2 linked regions of the Rattus norvegicus genome follow. The protein of the gene in region 1 purifies or fractionates together with the protein of each later gene. This does not show direct contact. Links are inferred from orthologs where the notes say so. Each region holds a gene or a part of one and is shown on either strand. Other genes may lie near its edges.

Region 1 (3,752 bases):
TAATTTCACCCTAGGGAGACAGGTAATCCTGGCAAAGGAGGAAGAAGTGAAGAGAAAAATAAGGCAAAGCTATGGCTTTATGAAGATCTGATTAGTCCCTTGTTAGACTAATGGGATAGAGCAGGGAAGGTGCAGAAAGTTGCACACAAAGATGGCCTTCCAAAAAGGTCTGCCCTCTGTCTACTTTGTGATAGCATGAGTTATGGTTCCAACATTCAAGTATAAATTCCCATTGTACAATTTCTGCAACTGACAGTGGACAATGGCAGGCTCCTTTTTACTGTAGAATCACCACTTACACATACTTAGTCACGGACTCCCAGGTACCATGTCTTCTTTACAATACCTGCTCTGGTCCTACGGCCTGCTGTGTCCTGGCTCTTAACTCTATTCACCCAAGACTACAGGTTGTTGCTTAACTGAATCAGGCTTTAAAATGCTGAATCGCCATGTTCACTGCAGTGAGGATAACAGAAGTGAGAACCATGAGACATGTCTAGTGTCTAACTACACACCCAAGTCGAGGTGTGCAAACCTTGTCTATGAAGGAAATTCTGAGAACACGGAACAGCCTCACTTGGAAATCCTACGATTATTTTTAATCTCTTCGAGCCCTTCTCACCTGTTAAAGAGCACTCATATGATCGTTCAGTAAGATCTGTTCTGCTTGTTTAAAAAATGATGTTAGCATTAAGGACTCACACATTGTAGATAACCTGACAAATGTAAATAAAGCATTCAAAGTGGGAAAACAAGCAGCAGAGTCCACTGCGGGTTTGCAGAGGACTTTATTTACTGTTATTTTTAAACAATTTTTTAAACTGCCCTAAGCATGATGGTTGTTGAGTCCTAATGATTGAGAAGCATGATAGCTGTGAGTTCAAGGCCCATTTGAACTACATGGGCCAGCCTGTGCTAAAGATCCATCTTTAAAAACCAAGAAAATATTTTAAAAATATATAAAATTGGGAGTAAGATATGGTAGTGGTCTGCAAGATATTAGACGAGTGAGGAAGCAAGCATGATCAAAACACACATGTTTGTGTGTGTGTATAAAATTCTCAAAGAACAAACATATATTCTGAAAACTAAGAGAAAAGGGTCTGTATTGGGGGGCTTATACATGGTATATGATATACTTCTTTTTCATGCCTGACTCCTTTTGGTAGGCATACGTTGAAACCTACTCTGGGAAAGAACAGTTATATACAAAGTCATATGCCTTATTTATTTCTCTTTTCCATAATCAAACTACATATGGTGTCTATCAATCTCACTTTGCTTTCTACTGTACAGTGATTTCCAAAACCAAACACTTAAGATTCTCTATACGTCTTGACAAAAATCACTTGTTAAATTTCATACTTCTAGAATTTTCCAAGGTTTCTGAGGGAAGCCTCATCTTACAAACATCTTATAGTACAGTTTTATTGACAATTGGCATTTTAACATCTTTTCTACATAAATTTAACACCTAAGTCCCAACACTGCAACATATATGGTCAAAATACCCTCTGCTTTTCCAATTTGAGTTTAAGTACATTATACAATGAGAAGATTCTTGAGCGCTTTTTCACACTGAGATTCAAGGTAACAGGGGAAAGTAACATACAGGTTCCGTACACCTGGAATACATTAAATCTGAGGGAAGTCACTTCAAATTCTTCAGGTCGTCCAACTCAACTATTTCAGGGTATATATACCTAAGATACTAGTGTCTATTTGCAGTCACATCAAGTCAACACCCAGCCTAAATTTCGTCCCCTGAGGGCTTTTGAAGATGAGATCTGCGCTTCCCTTAGCCACACCCATACTAAATTCCCATTTCCCAAAGGTTTCTAATAAGTGACCGGCATCCTCACTTCTATCTTCCTAACGGCACAACTATTCCCAATTTGATTTTAGAAACAAGAAGCCAGTTTCCAATGTGCAGAAGTGGGTAAAATGTATAACGGGAATTTGTACTCCGTTTTTGTTTTGTTTTGTTTGGCTGTTTCGTTTTGTTGCGCGGAAGTGCAAACCCCGATAACTCAAGCATCCCGTTTTAGAGCCTGCCACCTTACAAAAACCGCCCTCACCGGTTTAAACTGAACTTTTCAGAGCCGCTGGATGTCCTCACTTGCTAACACTAACAAAATTCAGTTTCTAGCATTTGCTTGGGGGGCGGGGGGGGGGAGTGGTCGCAAGCTCAGACACTTGGCTCACTTGGTCCCTGTCCCTCGTAAAGTCTGGTACAGGATAAGATCCGCCCGAGGCTCTCCCTCCCCTCCCCCAGCCTCCGCGCTCCCAGGTGGCTACTATCATTTTACTAATGCCGACAGGGCAGGCTAAGGCCACGACACTTTAAAAGCCCGTGGCGTGGGGACGAGAACTCGGACCTCCCAACCTCCGGTCCGGCTCGTCGTCCGGTCCGCGAGACGCCCGGAGCGAGCCGCACTCCGCGCACCTTCGGCCAGCCGCCTGCCTCAGGCCCCGGGGAGGCTCCGCTGAGGGACGTGGGAGGAAGGCGAGCCCGGGCTTCCCAGGTTGTCCCGCGCCGGACCTCGGCGTGGCGCCGGGAAAGACGCAACCGCGGGGGCGGAGAGACAGACTCTGGCTGCGGTCGCCAAACGCCGCGCCGGCTCACCTCAGCTCTAGCTTTTCCCGTAGCGACTTTTTCCTCAGCGCAGCGGAAGCACAAGTTCCGGTTGCCTTCTCAGGAAGAAGCCTCTGACGCGGGCCTTTAATTGGCTACGAAGCCTGTCCTATAGCAGGTCCTACTCCCGCCCTAAAGATACTGCGCATGCGCACTCCCGCGTCTCCCGCTTCTCCCGGGAAAAGATCTCTTGTCTATCTTCTTGGTCAGGTCAGGAGAGTGTTTCTTCATACTTCTTGTTAGTAAAAGAAAGTACTCTCTAGTAATTCGACTCCTCGCCGCCCACCCCCTTTATATAAGACTCTTAAAATTAAATATTTGCCTTATATAAGTCAGAAAATACAGATAAGCAATATTTAAAAATATCAATGCTAACCTTATCATCAAAAAAAATTTTTTTAAAGCAAGTTGTACTCCATGATATATTCATACATACATGGGGATATTTGGGAACATGATTAAGACTAACATCCTACACCTTCATTTTCCCCCTTCCGTTCACTTTTATTTTCATTTAGGAATTCAAAGATGTATATGACAATTCTTCCACAAACCGACAAGTAAAAAAAAAAATTAATGTAATTTTTAAAATTAGAAGGAGTGGGCAATTTCACTGTGTAGCCCAGGCTACACATGGTTTCAAATGTCTCTTCCGAGCCTCAGGAAAGCCAGAGGTTCAGAAATGAGCCATCAGGACCAGCAAGAAAACTTTCCATTTAGGCCTTCCCCCACCACACATATAAAAGAATTGTTAACAGATGTCCTAACTCATGGGAGTCTTAAGAACGCTTGTTGCAAATTAAAAGTGAGATAAGACTGTTCTGCTAAAACAGCTCTGCTTCAGAGACAAGAATGTCCCAGTTTCTTCCTTTAAATATGTGAAGAATTGCAGGCATAAAAGCGAAAGAACAGTCTACTCATCACCAACTTCCACAGCTATATGCTCCCCATCAGTTCGCCTCTAGTCCAGTATGAGCCTCTCAAAGGTAAGGGCTCTTCGCTTTTTCCCATGCCCATAGCATTACTATCTTACTGAAAGTGTACCAGGGGTTGTTACACTGATCAAATGAGTGTGTGTTCACACATGGATATATATGTCATATAACTTATTAGAGTG
Region 2 (3,752 bases), about 14 Mb from region 1:
GGTCCCCAGCTCCGGAAAGAAAAAAAAAAAAAAAAAAAAAAGCATGCTGAAGCTGGGCAGTGGTGTCCCATGGCACTAATCCCAGTACATGGGGGTAGAGGGAAGCAGATTTCTGAGTATGAGTCCAACCTGGTATACAAATAGTTCCAGAACAGCCAGGAATACAGGGAGAAACAAAAACAATCAAAAAGGAAGAGAAAGCACACTCAGTAAGGTGTGTGAAGTAAGCATCCCTCGTGGCCTCTACCTCAGCCCCTGTCAGCAGGTTCTTGCCCTGGCTTCCTCCAATGAGAAAAAAATGATACGGGGTGTAAGTCAAATAAACCCTTTCCTCGTCCTTTTAGTCGGTGTTTCAGCACAGCAATAGCCCTAAGACAAGCGCCAAGCCACCAGAGCAAGAAACCTAGACTGCCTCAACTTCAACAAAAGGGCATGCTGATGTCCATAAATATGACTGGAACTGTAATCTTGTCTTAATTTACTTTTTAATGGTTTAATTACTATTTAATGGTTTAGAAGAAATTCAGGGGTTTGTACCTAGTGTCCTGTGGCTATACACTCATGTGCTAAATAACCTGGCCAATGACAGATCATATATACAGTGATAGTCTAAGGCTTATAAAGTAACCAAAACCTTCCTTTGCCTAATGACACAGTAGATGTGGTAATGTTGCAGCCCAATGCACCACTGTGTGAGCAAACAGTTACACTGCGGACAGATAAGTGTAACACATACCATTACAGGTAGTTCTTACTGCTTGATAACAATAACAAATGATGTCACTAGCTTATGGACTTATACTGAACATTTTACTGTGAGAGTCACAGTTGCTAGGTGTAGTGGTACATACCTCGAGCCCCAGCACTCAGGAAGCTGAGACAGCAGGACCAAAAGTCCAAAGGCAAAAAAAAAAAAAAACCCTGTCTAAATAAGTTTAAAAATAAAATCCACCCTTTGAACAGAATGTCCTAGTACACCAGCAGCTACTTCCTCTTTTTTGTTTGTTTGGTATATGTGGTGCGTCTTGTATGTGTGTGGGGTGTTATACAGGTCTGTGAATGTCTGAGTGGGCATGCGAGAGTTAAGTGTCTTTCTCTGGAGCTTCACCTTACTGCCTTGAGACAGGGTCTCATATTAAATAGAAGTTCAGTGTCAGCCAGGCTAGCTGGCCAGAGCTCTCGAGATCTGTTTGTAGTCCTGAAATGATGGGGCTACGGGCATGAGAGCCATGACTGGCTTTTTATGTGGATGCTAAGGATTCAAACTCAGGTCCTTGTGCTTGTACTTGAGCAAGTGCTCTTACCAACCAAGTCATCCAATTCCCACTGTTGCTAAGAATCCTGACTGCACCAAAAGGCGCCAGGCAGTAACTATTCTGCACCACCTAAGTTTATTAAAGCACAATGGAGAATGCCTGCAGAACAACAGTGTACCGCTTGGAAATGACCCAAGTGTATATGGAAGAAACAAAACACAGGCCATCGTAGAGATTGGAGACTTTGGGTCTAAAAGATGACACATCCTTGGATATTCTATAAGAATAAAGTTGCTGGGGATTTAGCTCAGTGGTAGAGCGCTTACCTAGGAAGCGCAAGGCCCTGGGTTCGGTCCCCAGCTCCGGAAAAAAAAAAAAAAAAGAACCAAAAATAAAAAAAGAGAAGAATAAAGTTAATAGCGGGACACAATCATTTGGAGCAATTTCTGTGTCTTTGTTTCAAATGTTTTCTAGCATCACTACTCTCCTCTCCACTTTAAAAAGTGTTTTTATTGTTTGTTTTTCTTTGCTTCTAACTGTTAAGCCCTGTAAGGGTAAACGGCTGGTCCTTTCCTGTGTACAACCCTAGTACTTAACACAGTCACACAGGTAAGATGCTGCCTCACATTGAAATGGGAACTAAACTGTGTACAAGGTGAGAATCTAGAGTCTGAACATCTGCGGTCCACCAAAATTCGAAAACTTTTCAAGGCTCACATGATACTACAAGTGGGAAATTTCATGCTAGGCTTCATATGAACTGTCAAACGCAGGTGAATTAAAACTATTGTATAAAATTGTCTTCAGGCTACGTGTGTATGGACTTGAGACCCATCACCAAGCCACCGCAGGATCTGAGATGGGACCAGGAACAGTGCACTGCAGAACCTAAGCATTTGACCAGTATGTGGACTTCACTTGGGAGTACAGTGTGTGCCCTCTGGGAAAATGGGGCGTGGTCCACAGCGCCGGGTTTAGACAGCTCGGAACCCCGGACACCGGAAGCCGCAAAAGGTGGTGTCTTGACCTTTCCTAGGCCCTTACCATTTGATGACATTGTGAACCAACGGCAAAAAAGAGTAATTCTCCTCTTTCACGCCAGCGGGGGACTGAGGCCGCGGAGCCGCCGGCGGCGGGAGCGCGGCGACAGGCAAAGGCTGAGGCGGCGGCGGCGGCTTGGACTCGGGCAGCAGCTCGGGCGGTGGCTGTAGCGTATCTTCAGCCTGTCTCCCACCCGCCACCCCAGAAGAAGCCATAGTACCACACGTCCTGCGGCTGCCGAGGGTCGCGGGATGCTTGCGTCACAACTAAGCGCCCGGGAGGCCGGGCGGGAAAAGGCTCTGAGTCTGCGCCCTGGGCGTAGGCGGGCGAGCGTTGCTAGGCGACGAGTGTCAGGGCAGCTAAATTGAGTAGTCAAGATTAGGGTATCTACTTCAGTCATCTTTTTCTAGTTCACATGACACAGAGAGGTCAAAACACCAACGAGGACCACCCCCCCGGGACTAACAGGAAGAACGGATGACGCTAGTGAGCACCGTGTGAAACTGGGGCTCTGCGGCAGCGAGCTTCCAGATGACAAGAACCTACACTTCTTTGTGTCACGCTAGCCTCCAGGAGGGCCCTAGACTGGCGACAGCAAAACACGCCATACAAACTCAGCCCACATGGCTGCCAAGGGAAAAACTAATCGTTCTTCAAGCATTTAGTTTGCATCTAGCAGGTGCCAGACTACATATGTATATTAAGACTAAGCTCTTGGACCAAATAGGAGAACTTTCTGATAGGCTTGCATTTATTCATTTGAAGCAAAAGAGCTCTATTGTAAATTTCTGGACAAGGGTAGCAGTAATCCTGATCCTGACTAATAAAAACCAGGAATGAGGGAAGCAGTCACTTGGGAGAGGACATCTGTCCTTGGTGATAAGATCTATGTCAGAGCGCAAGGCCCTGGGTTCGGTCCCCAGCTCCGAAAAAAAAAGAAAAAAAAAAAGATCTATGTCAGTAAAGAGGGGCAAGGAGCCCACATCACATAAGCAAAAAGAAACAGGAATGTAGAACCTCACAATGGTGTTTTGAGGTTATTAGTTACAGGTCTCAGAATTGTTCTCTTCAGAGCTGCAGATAGTTCTCCAAACAGAGGCACTGTCCGGAGGGGGAAAGAATAGTTTCAGTGTTGCTAAAAGGAAGACAGAAACAAAAGTGAAACAAAGTGATTTGTTTTTTCTTGAAAAATGAGTGTACCAGAACCCAAGCCAACAGAGTAAAAACACTCAACAAAATGCCCACTGTCTTCCATCTCTGACCTAGGTGCATTTCATCCCCTTGGTGGGAACACAACTTTCATAATATGATTCAATGGGCTAATCACTCAAAGGGAAAAAGGGGGAGTTAGGAAATACAGACTCTGTGGGACCAAGTGTCTTTGATAGAAGAATGTTTCTCACCACAGGAAGCTGTAGGGCTTCCTTCTAACCCAGGGGAAAGGCTATGATTCTT

What was found. The genes of interacting proteins can lie anywhere in the genome.
Region 2: the proteins of Med7 (region 1) and Med9 purify together in Homo sapiens (affinity purification with mass spectrometry; 5 studies listed by BioGRID and IntAct, counting the BioPlex papers as one, with this or other methods). This does not show direct contact. The link is inferred for Rattus norvegicus from reciprocal best matches to the Homo sapiens genes MED7 and MED9.

The regions. Positions count from the first base shown.
Region 1 is NC_086028.1:31,353,957-31,357,708, reverse strand, and holds the start of Med7 (mediator of RNA polymerase II transcription subunit 7), read right to left. Parts: upstream 2,673-3,752; 5' UTR 2,627-2,672; exon of another isoform or gene 2,079-2,626; intron 29-2,078; 5' UTR 1-28. UniProt on the Homo sapiens protein: Component of the Mediator complex, a coactivator involved in the regulated transcription of nearly all RNA polymerase II-dependent genes.
Region 2 is NC_086028.1:45,249,007-45,252,758, reverse strand, and holds the start of Med9 (mediator of RNA polymerase II transcription subunit 9), read right to left. Parts: upstream 2,531-3,752; 5' UTR 2,513-2,530; coding exon 2,301-2,512; intron 1-2,300.